Macaca mulatta: one gene and its partners. The protein of the gene in region 1 interacts with the protein of each later gene in a pairwise test. Links are inferred from orthologs where the notes say so. Each region holds a gene or a part of one and is shown on either strand. Other genes may lie near its edges.

Region 1 (5,258 bases):
AGCAGAAAACTACATGATAGTTTATTTAAATGGTGCAACAACTCGAAGAAAAATGCCCAGTCTGGGATGGCTCAGGAAATGTTATCAGCAAATTGATAGAAGGTAATACACATACAAGTTGAAAGCTAGTCTGATAAATTTTTATAATGGCTTTAGTAGATCAAACTTTGTTTTCTGTTGCCTTTTTTTTTTTTTTTTTTTTTGAGACGGAGTTTCACTCTTGTTGCCCAGGCTGGAGTGCAATGGCACCATCTTGGTTCACTGCAACCTCTGCCTGCCAGGTTCAAGCGATTCTCCTGCCTCAGCCTCCCAAGTAGCTGGGATTACAGACATGCACCACCACGCCCAGCTAATTTTGTATTTTTAGTAGAGATGGGGTTTCTCCATGTTGGTCAGGCTGGTCTCGAACGCCTGACCTCAGGTGATCCTCCTGCCTCGGCCTCCCAAAGTGCTGGGATTACAGGCATGAGCCACCACACCCGGCCTTCAGTTGCTATTTTAAAACACCATTTATTTTTTAAATTTTATTTATTAATTTCATGGCAGGTTTCTATTTTCTAAAGATAGCATTTTAGAATATTGTGAGGGAAATCAATTTTGATTTTTCTATAAAGAATAACCTTAATTCTTCTAACTTACAAAGTAGCTCTATATTTCTCCTTATTTATAAGGAGAAATTGAACACTTTCTCCTTATTTATAAGGTGCAATTTTCTCCCCATTGAACACTTTCCTACTATTTACATCTTGGGAAAGGATGGAGAATGTAGTGTGTTTCCTATTTTATTACATTCTGAGGTTTGCCTAATTTATAGTGCTTAGGATGTTTTATGTTTTTGTTTTTGTTTTGTTTTGAGACAGGGTCTCACTCTGTCACCTAGGCTGGAGTGCAGTAGTGCAATCTCTGCTCACTGTAGCGGCGACCTTCCAGGCTCAGGTGATTCTCCCACCTCAGCCTCCCAGGTAGCTGGGACTACAGGCTTGTGCCACCACACCCAGCTAATTTTTGTATTTTTTGTGGAGACAGTGTTTCCGCATGTTGCCCAGGCTGGTTCTCGAACTCCTGGACTAATGCGATCCACCTGCCTCGACCTCCCAAAGTGCTAGGATTACAGGCATGAGACACAGTGCTCAGTCTTTATGTTTCTTAATGATGCTTGTTTAGTTGTAAAAGTCTTTCTTTGGAACAAGCTTTTGAAGCATATTGTCTTGGGAGTTAGTCATTAGTACTTAATGGAAGGAATGTGATCTTCCAATTGGTTTGATCTTGCCATGGCTAATTTAAATCAAGTCTAAATTTGACATTGGCTAGCTCTTGTGATTATATATGTATCTCACTTTATGTGTGAAATATGCATAATACAATAAGTTTGTATTTAGTCATTTAAAAAGAAGAGCTCTAGGATAATACCTTTAATATTTAATCAAAACTTTAAATTCCTTGAGAATAGGAGTTAGATCTGATTTGTTTTTGTTCCTGTGGTCATCTTCTCCACTCACACTTCTCTGCCTGCACAGTGCTTTTCGTGATTTTGAAGAACTTAGCACCAAGTTCTCCCTAGTCTTGGAAAATGAGGATAGTTTACTTTTACATTCAGGATGGCCTCTTTCCCTGGTTGACAGAGTCCTGAAGACAAGTGAATGTGTATGCTAGGAGACATTTAATAACAGGCTATACTATGGACATAAATTTGGCCAAATAAAGTAAAGTTCATTTCATAGCAGTAGGAGGGACCATCAGAATTCAAGAATCCTTTTTCTTGTCTACAGGGGTATCATACCTAAATGAAAACTCCTGGGTGAGATTTTTCAACTATTATTTTGTATAAAGTTGCACATATTTATTGATGTCTTGACTTTTAGCATTAGAATTTATAGAGATTTTTAATTTTCTTTGTGTATGTGTGTTTTTTTGTTTTGTTTTGTTTTTTTATTAACTCCAGGTTACGGAAAAATCTAAAATCCCTAATCATTGTACATCCTTCTTGGTTTATCAGAACACTTCTGGCTGTTACAAGACCATTTATTAGGTAATTTTTGAGAGCCATTGACTTTAATTTTATTTTAACTTTTTTTTCATTTATTTTTAGTTAACACATAATAACTATACATATTTATGGGATACAGAGCTATATTTTGATATGTGTATACATTGTATAATGATCAAACCAGGGTGATTAGCACATACATCACCTCAGACATTTATCATCTTTTTGTGTTTTGAACATTCAAAATGACATGAGTTTTTTAAAAAAAATTCTTACATTTGTATATAAGAAATTTTTGTATCTTGTAAACATTGTATCCATTGTATTTGTCAGAAATATGGAGGTAATTATTTTTATTTTCTTCCATAGCTCAAAATTCAGCCAAAAAATTAGATACGTCTTTAATTTGGCAGAACTAGCAGAGCTTGTCCCCATGGAATATGTTGGCATACCAGAATGCATAAAACAGTATGTTTTGTTTTATTTCCTTAATTGTATTGGATCTTAATATTTTGATGTGCAACGGATAATACTTTTCAATACTCATTCTTTATGTATTTTATAACTGTGTGTCTCTGTGTGTGTGTGTGTGTGTGTGTGTGTGTGTGTGTGTGTGTGTGTGTAACAAAGAAAAAGAGGAAGAAGCCATTTCCCACACCGTCCCCATAAGTTAGCATTTTCTTCAGGCTGTCAATTGAAGAACTAGGATAAATTATTTCTGGTTGTGATTCATGTTACACTTTTTAGACTGGTTATAATCTAAGAGATGATTTTTCTAATTGATCAGTACTAAAGAACGTTCTCCAGACTTGAACATGGTGCTCAACAAATTTGAGTAAACTCATCATGAATATTATTATTGAATAATTATATTGCTAAATAAAAATATTTAAATCATTATAACCTTAATGTTTTCCAGTGACTGCAATTTTGTTCTGATTATCAGATTCACATTCTTCCATGTAACTTCTTGGACTTGATAGAAGGCTGTTAACATAAATACCTGAGTATTACAATGCATGTGGAAAAGTTTCTTTGTTCTGCTCACATGAGGTTTTACTCTATTTAATGTGTGAAAGTCAGATTTATTAAGTCAGTTTTTACTTTCTACATCATGTATTAAATATTTTTCGTTTTGCTGGAAAATGTAAATGGGTTTAAGTACCTTTTTTCAAGTTTTTATTCATTTTCATAACATGTATATTTACTGAAATAACTCTTCCCTACAAAGGTATGAAGAAGAAAAGTTTAAAAAGAAACAAAAAAGGTATATGCACACCTTGACTGGGTTGCATCTAGACTAGTCCATTTGCATTGCACACTAACTCTTCCTTATTGGTTGGTTAGCTTGTAGACAAAGATAATAGCATTTGTAAATATAAACGTACCCAACTTCCAAATATAGGGTGAACCCAGAGTTCCTAAGGCTGAATATGACTTGGATTCACCCTGTTTTATTGCCATATGTGATGCCAATTAAGACTTAAAGACCACGGACCCTTCTCTCTCCTTCTTAGTCCAAGTACTAATGGTGAAACCACAGAAATTACTAAAAATGGTATTTGGAACACCAAATAAAAGACTTCAGTTGTTTCACCATTTTCTTTAAATAGCTAACTTGTGCTTTTGAAATATTTTTGCAGACTTTTTAAAAGCTATCCATTTATTTCCCTGGGGTTGATTATTATATTTGCAATGCATATATTCTTTGGCTAACCAACATTAATTTCCTTTTATGCTTAAATTAAATGGCTTGCTAACCAGTCAAATTCTACATGTGATAAAATACCTAAAATCTCAGTGTCCCATTTAACAGTTAAACACTCTGCTTTCTATTTTAAATTTAATTTTGAACACTTCTGCTTTGAGCATAACAAACTATTATCTATTGATACCTTGACATAGATGGTGAAAGAAGGCAAGGGTATAAAATACTTACAATTTTATATAATAATTTAGAAAAATGTAGAATTTGGATCTAGTTTGTTAGATCTTTAAAATATTGGCAATTAAATTAGCAAAACATAGTTTAATGCAGTCTTAAGAGTTATGGTGAGAGATTTATATGTAATTATCTTGACTATTCTAAGGAGCCAACTGTAACTAACTGGAACATTCTTAACTTTGAACACATTTTGTTTCTGTTGATGAGTGAGAATTCAGTAGGCCTTATGATAGAATCAGTTTTACACTTCTATATGACACTTCACAGTTTAACCAACACTTTAACATAAATGTAGACAGTGATTTTAGATCATGCTGATTTCTCATTCCTTTCTAGGCATTACTGTGCATCCGACAGACACGTGACTGAAATTAAAAATATGATTTGTAATTGTAGAATATTTTGAAGCCAGCCGCTTCATAGATTTCACAGTGAATTGCCTTTGTTGATAAAATGTGCTGTATTAAGCCTTTTTTAAAAAAAGTTTTTAATACTGTAAAGTAATTTAGACATCAGAAAAAAATATGGAATTTGTACTTTAAATGTATTGTTTGAAACCGGTCACTATTTTATCTTGAGTTTTTTTTTACTTGTGTTTAACCATAAATACAATTATTACATGTATCTTTCAAAAACTTTGTGGTTTCTGTAGTTTTTTTAGTCTTAAAAAATAATAAATTTTTGTCAATCTGAAAAGGATAAAATTTAATTTTTAAATTAAATTTAGATAGGCATGTTTTGTTTTGAGACAGAGTTTTGCTCTTGTCACCCAGGTGGGAGTGCAATGGCCCAATCTCAGCTAACTGCAATCTCTGCCTCCTGGGTTCAAGCGATTCTCCTGCCTCAGCCTCCCAAGTAGCTGGGATTACAGCCTCCCACCACCACGCCTGACTAATTTTTGCATTTTTAGTAGAGACCAGGTTTCACTGTGTTGGCCAGGATGGTCTCGAACTCCTGATCTCAGGTGATCTGCCCACCTTGGCCTCCCAAAGTGCTGGGATTACAGGCGTCAGCCACAACACCCAGCCTAAACCAAACTTTACAGAGGCTAGGTACAAGGGAGCTTATTTAAGGTGACAACTCCATGATATGATAAGTACTGGTGCTAAGGAAAATATGAAACTATGAGTCCCTATGGCAGGTTTTTGGGGAGCAGGGGAAGAAGGGGTAAAACCATTTTCTTGAAGGGCTTGTGGGGAAGAAGGTTGAAGAAATGTTGATAACAGTGAGATCCAATGTCCCCAGTGATAGAAAAAGGATAGCAGTTTTAAATGTTTCTTTCAAACAACTGGATGCAAGTGTGGCCATGCAGATACAGATTGTTAA
Region 2 (5,258 bases), on another chromosome or scaffold:
CTAATACAGTCAAGCATGAATGTAACTGAACCACTACATATGAACATAAGAGCTCCTGTTTCCAGATAGTCAGGAAATCCATTGGTCTTGGCAACCCCAGAGAGTTGCAGATGAGGAAATTGAGGTCCTAAGTAGTTATATGAGTTGAATATATTTAAAACTAACAGATTATGAATTCAAGGCATGAAACATTAATATATTATTATTATTCTATACATGTTATGCCAAATATAAAATATGCATAATGCCATATAGGACATAGAAATCATATAGTAGTGAAAACACATAAATGCACATAAGTGTATCCAATGTATAAAGATATTTCCTGTAGATTATAACAGAAAGCAAATGTTCACACAGGTGATTTTCCCACTTGATAACAGATCAATTCCATTCATCAAAAGTATATTTAATTCCTTTCTATTTAAGCATAAATTAAGACCCTTCTAAACATTTATAGGCTCTTGGTGTTGAAAAGAATCTCAAAAATCAAAAATCATCCAACCTCTCTTCATATGTGACGCATGAGTTTGGAAAGTAGCAACAATGCTCTATGGCTATTTATTATTATTTTATTCCCTGGACCAGTAAGGGATTGTCACATAAAAATAAGAAACACTTACATAAGAGAATCTCCAATGGTTTCCCTATTAAGAAACCATTCTATAAAATGAGTCCATCTTCTGAGAGACATTCCCAGCCTAAGGTTTCACTGGATCCAGGCGGCAATGAGATCAGGACCAATAAGAGTCTCCATTTGCTTCCCAACCCACCAGACCCCAAGTATACATTGTCAAGACTATGCTTTATTCACTTTGTGTTCAGTCACCACTAGAATAACCTCCTTTACCCTCCCCGACTCAGTCCACTACTGTCTATGCCTGGCACTTAGAGGGGTGGTAGGTGGATGGATGGATGCGTGGATGGATGGATGGATGGATGGATGGATGGATGGATGGATAGATGGATGAGTGAATAAAGTACGTAAAAACTTTCCTCTTTTGTTCCACTATAATTCATATTTCATTCAAATACCATGATAAAGTCTCAATCTCTTCTTCTAAGGAGATGTTGTCATTTTTCCTATCAAAACTTAGTAAATGTCTGTAGCTGGCCAGTTTCTAATTATAATAAAAACAAAAAGATATCATCATTTGGGTAGCATATCTCAGGACCTGGGAATTTTTTTTAAAAAGTCTATATCATGATTTCACTGAGAACATTAGTATCTTCTAAGTGTTATCTTCTACGTTAGCCCTGTGTATTCCCATCAGAATGAAAGGGATTAGGATGAGAGCTAGGGCTAGAGTTGATATATATAACCCTGGAATGTTTCAAAAGTTTTTTTAAAAAAAGAATCTGAAGTTTAGATTTGAGAGCATCATTAAGGGAAGTCCTATAATATACCTTCAAACAAAATGCAATTTTGTTGTTAAAGTGAGGCACGAGTTATTTCACAGCCAAAAAGAAGGTAGAGTATTAAACACATCATTTGTTTAATGTTGAAAATACACCCTGGGCCTGTGGGTGTACATACTGTAAAAAAGTCATCTCAACAACAATTACCCGCCAGTTTCACTCTCACTCAGCGGGGGAGGTGTGTTTCAATTAGTGGTTTCTTGCCAGTACTTCCTCATACTTTCCTCATACTCTTTGGGCATTAGGGGGTTGTAGAGAAGTAGAAAGGAAAACTCATTACCCAGCCCTCAGACAGTTCAGAAATTAAATAGAAGTTTGTACTACTCACGGCTCTGCCTGTAGGCTTCTGTCCTCAGCCACGTAGTTAGAAGGAATATAGCCCTGTAGTTGCTGACTGGAGCCATCTCGCCTTTTCTCCAAGTGTCTGGCAAACCACCAGCCCTCATGTGAAGTGTCCAGAACTTGAAGTTTGTCACCTGCCCGGAAGCTCAGATCCTCAGCAGTCCGAGCCTGGTAATCAAACAAAGCCACAAAGTAGCGGCCATGCCTCTGTGACTGGGGAGAGCAATGGGCCCCTGGATTTTCAATCACCGTTGACTTGTCTGCTTCCGTCGACAAGCAGGGGAGATAGGGTTCTAGATACTCCCAGAGCCTCTGACAGATGTTGCTCATTGTGCCTTGGTGGGGAGAAGAGGAGCAGGGCTTCTCCCTCTCCCCTTAGTCTCTGCGATCCACCTTCTCTTCCTTCACCAGGCACCTTTGAAGTCAGCACCAACTCACCATACTTTGGAGAGTATGCAAAGTCCCATTTCAAATCAGTCCAGCAGCTGGTTGCAGCAAGTCCTACCTGGAGAGACTTACCGGCTTGCTTTCTGTGGCCGGAGCTGCTACCCCCAAGCAAAACGGAGCAGGAGCTGGGCAGCTGCTCAGTAGGAAGGTATCTTTTCTTCGTATCTGCTTAAGAATCGCACAACAAAAATAAAATAAAATTAAAAGGGCTTTATTTAGACAAATATCTGAGAACAGAATGGTGCCATCTTGCCTTTTGTCCCAATAAAAAGTTAGCAAGAGGAAGCTACTAACCCCTGGCAAAACCTACACACCTTGCTTTCGCCAGGAGCTCTCCCCCTGTTTCAAGTCTGCTCCTGTCTTTGGACCAGTCTGGATCTGGACGGCTCTCTCCTTTTTGCTAATGAATAACCAACCAGCAGAGGTTGTTGCCTTTAACATTCTGAGCTATGAACAGACTGTAATAATTTCCCCTTACTTCCTGGTTTCTTTCTGTGATCTAAATGGGATTCTGACTTCTTTACCCCTCCCATCTCCCACACCCAAGATAGACCAGATCCTTTACCAAACTGTTAAAGCAGCCACTAAAATCTATATTCCTTTTGTTTCATCCTGGAGAAACAGGCTAGCCCAGGTAGCTTTTTGTCTCGCTATGTTCCCAACACTGACATTCACGGCAGAGATTTTTTTCCCCCACAAATAGGAGTAGAATTGTTTTGCCACCACTAGGGGAAATTTAAAACGGCAAATTATTTAGGTATTTCTTGTTAGACACAGAGCAATTGGAAAAGAACCATCAAGTCACTCCCTTTTCTCATTACCAAGAATAGATTTTAATAGCTTCAAAGAAAAGTCACAGTCTGGAAAAGTAAGAAAGCAGCTGACTAAAATGCTGAGAACCCAAAACGTTGCTTTTTCCCACAGACATTTAATTTCCTATCCTTCAAGTACTATTTTGGAAACACACACACACACACACACACACACACACACACCCCACACCAACTAGGTGACCAGTAGAGAAAAAAAGAGTAGGGCAGAGTGCTCTTTGCGCACTGCTGTGGGGGCTCTTTCTGCTAAACTTTGACTTCCAGATCTATACTAGTTCTTGCTAATTTCCTTGGCAAGAACTCAGGAACTAATGAGACTGACATCAGGACAGCCATCTCTAGACAGGCAGTGGGTTTTGCTTGACCTTCCCTAGTTCAGGGCAGCTGTCTCGCAAATATGTGCCCTGGATCACAAAAACAGCTGGGCAATGAGTCTGGCAGTCATTTATACTAGTAGACAGCATTGCAAACTTGTTTATGATGTCACTGATTTCCCTATAAGACTTTTTTTTTAATTTCTTCCTTAAAAACAATCTTTCTAAATGTTGTGAGATCCTTGAACCTGGCTAACCTATTCCTAGTACGAGCTCATAACTTCTGTTCTTTGTCAAATTGCAAGGCATTTAGTAATCAGAATAATCAAACTCAAGAAAAATAAAGAAAGAAAGAAAATCAGAGAACCATGGCATCAGCCCAACCTGCTACTACTTTGTGCAAAAATCAGTCCATAGCACTGGACAGATCAATTGGTAAAAATAAAATCTTGTGTTATGCTCCCAAGTTTCTCCAATCGTCTTTGGAGTCAGAGTACAAATAACAAGTTGACAGAAGTAGAAAAGCCAAAAGCTGAGCCAAGTTTTTGTTGTTGCTGTTGTTGTTTTGTTTTTTAATGAGATGAGACCTAAAATAGAATGTATATGTAATTTTATATTATATACAAAACAGAAAATATATAATATCAAATGACCATAAAGGACATTTTGTTCCAAATACAATAATGGATGTAAAAGCATAGGATTTTATTAGTGCCCCTGACAGAGGCACACATTGCTGAAGTCTTTCCTGAGACATCTACACGATCTAAAAATGAAAAAAAAAAAAAAAAAAGATTTAGAAGCAACCTGAGAGATGTATTGAAACCCAATTTGTAAGTGGGGTTTTAGATTTTTGAATTGTGGGGGTTCTAAATTCAGACATGTCTTTGCTATAGTTATGACAAGGCATTCTGGAAAAAGACAAAGCAGCAGACCTGCACACCACAGTCATTGAGCAAGTGAGTGAAATTCAAAAAGCGGCCAACCATCTGAAGATGTCAGGTGAGCAATGGCCTGAGAACGCAGAGCCAAGGGGTGGAAAGAGAGAGGATTTCTTTGTGTCGATAGTACTAGAATCCTCCAGTCACCCAATCTCAAAGTCTTGCAGTCATCTTTTATTTGCTCCCTGGTTTCTTTGAGCTAATCAATCACTGAATTCTGCTCAGTCTTCCTTTTCATTTATTCCACAAACTTTTTTTTAAGCTCCTTCTGAGTGACAGCTGGGCACCAGACAGAAAACAGAATATTCTTTCCTAAATTATTCCAGAAGCCTCCTAACTGATCTCACTTCCTCCAGCTTATTCCCGTCTCTGGCTGTTCCTGTACACCAAGATGAGTGGTGTTCATAATAGTTTATTGAGCAGTTTTTATAACAGTAACAATGACTGCGGTGATAAGACATTCCTAGTCATTACTGGTAAAAGTAAATATCTGTTTGGTAAGCTTTCTATGTGCCAGGCACTGTACTAAGAATGTTAGAAATAAGATCCAGGAATTCTACTCCAGGGTATGTATCCAAAAGATTTGAAATCAGGAAGCCTGAGAGATATTGAACTCCTATGTTTATTGCAGCACTATTCACAATAGTCAAGTTATGGAATCAATCTAAGTGTTCATCAATTGATGAATGGACAAGAAAATATGGTATATATACACATTGGAATTCTATTCAGCCTCAAAGATGAAGGAGAAGAAGGAAATCTTGTCATATGTGACAACATGAATGAATGTGAAGGACTTTGTGCTAATGAAATAAACCAGACATGGAGGCAAATACTGCATGTTCTGACTTATATGTGGAAGCTAAAAAAATCCAACACATAGAAGCAGAGAGCAGAATGATGGTTACCAGAAGCTGGGGAATCAAGGGAATGGGGAGATGTTGGTTGAGGGCTACAATGTTTCA
Region 3 (5,258 bases), on another chromosome or scaffold:
ATGTTTTTAACAATAAGGAAAATGCAACATCAACTACTCTTAGAGCAAGTGCAGCCACAATACTGTACAGTTCTGGGGCCAGGCGGCTGGCTACATTTACTGTTAAACCAGGTCACAAAACTCCACAGCAAAAGGCAGCCAGCCAGCAATTAACCCCCATGACCTCTTAATATATATACATTTTTCAAATACTCTGTGAATCCCATTTGAACAACAATAAAAGACAAAAAAAAAAAAAAAACAGGCTTTATATTAAAAACGTCCATATTCTTCATTGTTACTTCTAAAGCAGCTTGGAGGATCTTACCACGTGGAGCATACTGCAAACTGACTCCATTAAAATGGTTTTGGCAGGATAGCAGCACAGGATTGGATATTCCATATTCATCACTTTGACAATGTAAACCTTTCATAAAATAATATTTTGCTTAAAAATTAGAATCATTCAAAGGTCTGATCATTCTGTTCCCTGAGGCCCGCCGGGGAGGTCTGGCTTCATACCACAGGTTTCCTGCTTTCTTGGTGGAGCGTAAGCACCACTGCATTTCAGGAAGACCCTGAAGGACAGCCACAAGAAAGCCCCCACGGAAGGAGGGCAGGGCTCTGGGTGGGTCTGTGTTGAAACAGGCCACGTAAAGCAACTCTCTAAAGGTCAAACCACCATAGATTTTAATCCGCTGGTCATTCCCCATCTGGATTTTTAACTGAATGAATCTCAGGGGTTTAACCAAACATGCATGTAATCCTGAATAACATGAATTAAATGCGGAATTGCCCAGGGATGAATAAACCTTCAAGAAACAAGGTCAAAGGGACAACAGATATATCTGTCACAAAAAACAATTCTGTTGACATGGAAATGCACATGACTTGGTTGAAACAATGCTCCTCAGTGGCCAGTGACATCCAGGTTTTTCTTAGGTAGCTGAGACTCAGGGCTTCTCACCTTCTCAGAAATGCTTTTGAAGAATCAAGAGACAAAAATCCCAAACAGAAAATGATCACTTCTGCTCACAAATAGTGTATAGGCCATAACTAAATACAATTAAAAAAAAAAAATAAACGCTGAGATGCATGTATTTTTTTAAAGCAGCTTTCGAAATATCAACCACAGCATTAAACACTGAACAGAGTACATTCGAAAGTTAATACAGATAAATGATATATAATGCAATAATGCCACAGAGTTATTCCATCAATGTCTCAAGGCTGATTCTAAACTGGAAGAAAAAAACACAACAAACACTTTCTAGTTTATTTGCTGAAGATGTCACTTCTTTTGTTACTTCTTTATAGTTTCCCACCATTGATTGTTTTTAAGTGCCCCAGGATGTACAGATAATCCCCATATTCCACACCTGGAACTTTTCTTTTTTCTGTCAGGTTTTCAAATAAAACCAAACTACAGTGACAAGATAATGTTTTACATGTAATTCCATAGACATAGGTCAATTAATCCATGACACCTTACTTCAATGCTTCCTTTAGGATTTAAGACCCTCTCCAAAGTCATTTAAAGCCTTGCTTTAAACTGCACAGGTGGGCCACAGCCACACAGCCAACGTGCCATGTGCTATGGCCAAAATGGGCCATGGCCGTTGCCTCTCCTCACGTTCCCAGCCTTCACCGTGTCCCTCTGCTAGGAAGGGCCCAGGGCCTCTGTTCCTTCTCTCTACAGTGATACATGTCTTAAGAAGGGTTGTGGCTCCCATGCTCCACGTGAAAATGGGCCTATCTGGAGGGCCCCAGGGCGACAGGCCCAGCCGCACCCCTCTATTGCTCTTTCTTGACAGTGGAATTCTGAGCTCCGTCAGCTTCCAGACATTCGGAGACGACACTGCCCTGTTGATCATCCCTGGAGGAGGCCAGTGAGGGCCCAGGCTCAGTTTCAGGACCAGGCCTCCAAGCTGGGATGCAGGCAGGTTCTGCGGACTTCGGTCTCCTAAAAGCAGGCACTTGTGGCGGCCTGATGCTCTGGGTAACTCTAGCCTTCCTGATGCTGAAGTCACCGAAATGTTTACTTCCTCAAGTTCCAGAGGATTATGTTCCTACTCAGACAGAGCCAGTATTGGGATTTGGGGGGTGCGTATCCAAAATATAAGAATATACACAATCAGGGCTTAAGGTACTGGATGATACTGTATAAATTGCTAAAATGCTTCTCGGCACAATTGGTAGCTTAAAAAAATACTTTCCTATGATTTAAGGGCATTTTTCCCATCGCTGTCCTTCGGTGTGGAAATCTCAGTGGGTACCAGGTCCATCTGAAGTTCCCAAATCTTTTCCTCCCACCAGGAATGCGTCATGTGAGTCATATGCAAAGAGTCTCTTCTTCAGACCAGGGAGGCATGGACTTCCCCCCAGGAACCCTCCCTCTGTTAATATCACAGCCCCCAGGGCAAAGACATACAAGTGAATGAGCACCTTCTTCCCAGCCTCCAGCAGCCAGAAAGCCAGCTTCCCCAACGATCAGGTCCTTTTTCCATACATCTGCTCTTCAAATGGTGAGTTAGTCTGGCCAACAACACAGAAAGCGAATCTGTGTTTACAGGCACAGCACATCCAGGTGGAGCCGCACGAAGCGGTGCTTGGCAATTAGTGGTCGGATTTCCAAAGACAGGAGTTTTGATGGGACTGTCTTAAATAAATAAATCTTTTTTTCTTAATAATGTAAAAAATAAACGATATTTCCCTTTGGCAGTAAATAGCTGATTCGACATTTTGCCTGAAAATTGGTGTGTGTGTGTGTGTGTGTGTGTCTGTCTGTGTGTGTGTATGTTTATATGTGTGTTATTTTTTCTTAAACAGCCTGCAGCTTTGTTTCATGGTACATCATTGACAATGCATATCATTTCTACTGCTTTAGTGAACCTTTTGCATATTTGTTTGGGGCAGGCGTGTTGACTTCACTTGTGGCCCAGATAGGCACCCAGGGTGATGCAAGCTCCCACCAGGGCCAAACTGAGCAGAGTCTTCAGAGACAGCCAGGAGAAATCAAACAGAGGCCGCATGCTGGGGCCGTACAGTTCCACAAAGGCGTCCTGCAGTTGGGGTAGAGGAGGAAAGAAAAAGAAAGAGTATTAGAAAGAGAGCAGAGAATGCCACCCCACAGAGAAAAAGGTATCCTGCCAGGGCAGCCTGGGCACCTTCAGAAGGGCGAGAGGGGAAAAGGCAAACGCTCTTTGGAGGCCATGATTCAGAAACCACTGTTTTCATTAATTCAAGACATATTTATTGAGAACCTATTTACATGCCAGGCATCTTAGAGATACAGCAGTGCATAAAATAGACTAAAAGTTCCTACTTCACGAAGCTTCCATCTAGTGGAACAGTATAGACAGCAATGAATATAATTTATCACATGGTGTAGGAGAGAGTGCTAAGGGCCGAGGAGAAAAACAGCGGAGGCAGTTAGAAAATATTAGAGGTTCTGCAGTTTTAGCTAGCACGCCCATCCACAAAAGTAATAAAATGTAGCAGTGATGATGACTGTCACACTCCTTGATTGAGTGTTGACGTCTTATCAAATGTCTGACATACATTATTTTAATCTTCGTACCAAACTTTTTTTTTTTCTTTAAGAGCTAGAGTCTTGCTCTGTTGCCCAGGCTGCAGTGCAGTAGTGCAATCATGACCCACGGCAGTCTTGAACTGTTGGGCTCAAGAGCGATCCTCCTGCCTCTGCCTCCTGACTACCTAGGATTATAATGCTTGGCTAATTTTTAAAATTTTTTGTAGAGATGGGGTCTTACTATGCTTCCCAGGCTGGTCTTGAACTCCTGGGCTCCAGTGATTCTCCTGCCTCAGCCTCCCAAAGTTCTGGGATTAAAGTTGTGAGCTATCTCATCCAGCTAATTCTTTGTACCAATGTTACTAAGTTATTTTATTTGTTTCTGTCTGAAGATGAAAAAGCTGAGAATCACAGGGAATAAGAGACTTTTCTAACAAATGGCATAGCCAGGCTTTGAACCCAGATAGAAACCAGCACCCTTCTCTCTGCTGATGCCCTGGCATGGCTAACGGCAGCTCTGTGAGAGCATTTGGTCGACCGAGGGCTCAGGCGGTGGAGGGGCCAGGGCGGCCTCGACTGGTGCAGTGCCAGCCTCTAAGGTCAAGGTTCTCCCAGGGAAAGGGAGAGGGTTTCTCTTGGGGGTGGCTAGACTGAACGACCACACTCAAATTGTGGATCTCACAAGGCATGAGATCAGGGGTGTGTCACTGGACGTGCAGGTCCGAGAGACAAAGAGGGTGTCTCCCTTCCATTCCTATCTCTCCATCTCAAGTCAGGTCTGTAGTGTTGTAGCAGAGTCCACTCTCTGGATCAGCTTGGATTGGGCAAATCACTGGTTGATCATTTCCTAGATTTGGGGGAGATTATGTGTCACATTTGGGTCCAATGAGTATTTGGACAACTGAATATTTGAATATATACATCAGTAAAGGAATTCTTTTTAGTTCTGATTTATTCAGGTATGAAGAAAACAAGAATAGTTCCACATTATTCCCAACAACCCTGACTCAAAGCACACAATTTTATTACAGGAAACAGTAACATACCATGACCCTGGGCATCGCTGTTGGGAGGGGCTCCAACAGTGCACGGAGGCGTTCCCTTTCTCTGGGGCAAGGGCTGTAGTAGTGGGACCAGGGATTCTCTTTGTCTCCCCCGTGCTGGGCATGGTCTTGGTGCACTGTAGGTGCGTAGTAAATGTTTGTTCACTTAAGTTTTCTGAATACAATCATCAGTTTACATTCTGTCTTTGGCTTAATGCTTTGCCCAGATGCTTATTAATCTGTTTGGAATTACTCCTTCTATATGTAACGGCCTCAGAGAATCCTGAGGTAGTCTTGATGAGGGTTTAAGGGGATTGTTAGGGGGAACTTTCTGCATTATTAAATATAGATTTATGCAATTATTTTCATGATATATAATATGTGCCATACTTTAAAAAATTCATTTTTACAGTGTTTAAAACTTTTGCTATTATAAACGATATCATGATATATTTTTGTACATAAATTCTTGTCTATTTGTTCAGTTGCTTTTTTGAAATAAACTCCTAGAAGTGACCTCAATTGACCAGTCATCAGTATTGCTTCCAGAAATCATGAAGGGCTTGCCTTGAGCCATCCTCACTCTCTCAAAAGGCAGGCACGGATTTAGGGCGTGGGTCACACTGAGGGTGATCCTGCCCCCCAGGGGACATTTGGCAATGTTTGGAAGCATTTTTAGTGGTCGTGATTTGGGGTGAGGGTGC

Evidence for each region.
Region 2: the proteins of BNIP2 (region 1) and FRK interact in binary tests that used the Homo sapiens proteins (3 or more experiments, as listed by UniProt). The two-hybrid records come from large-scale screens. The link is inferred for Macaca mulatta from reciprocal best matches to the Homo sapiens genes BNIP2 and FRK.
Region 3: the proteins of BNIP2 (region 1) and BCL2 interact in a two-hybrid assay, tested with the Homo sapiens proteins (3 studies listed by BioGRID and IntAct). The link is inferred for Macaca mulatta from reciprocal best matches to the Homo sapiens genes BNIP2 and BCL2.

Annotation. Positions count from the first base shown.
Region 1 is NC_133412.1:36,989,335-36,994,592, reverse strand, and holds part of BNIP2 (BCL2/adenovirus E1B 19 kDa protein-interacting protein 2), read left to right. Parts: coding exon 1-102; intron 103-1,942; coding exon 1,943-2,029; intron 2,030-2,356; coding exon 2,357-2,455; intron 2,456-3,218; coding exon 3,219-3,254; intron 3,255-5,258.
Region 2 is NC_133409.1:21,104,346-21,109,603, forward strand, and holds part of FRK (tyrosine-protein kinase FRK), read right to left. Parts: intron 2,692-5,258; exon of another isoform or gene 2,523-2,691; intron 2,377-2,522; exon of another isoform or gene 2,374-2,376; 5' UTR 2,092-2,373; coding exon 1,748-2,091; intron 1-1,747. UniProt on the Homo sapiens protein: Non-receptor tyrosine-protein kinase that negatively regulates cell proliferation.
Region 3 is NC_133423.1:17,763,408-17,768,665, reverse strand, and holds part of BCL2 (apoptosis regulator Bcl-2), read right to left. Parts: intron 3,042-5,258; coding exon 2,907-3,041; 3' UTR 1-2,906. UniProt on the Homo sapiens protein: Suppresses apoptosis in a variety of cell systems including factor-dependent lymphohematopoietic and neural cells. Regulates cell death by controlling the mitochondrial membrane permeability. Appears to function in a feedback loop system with caspases.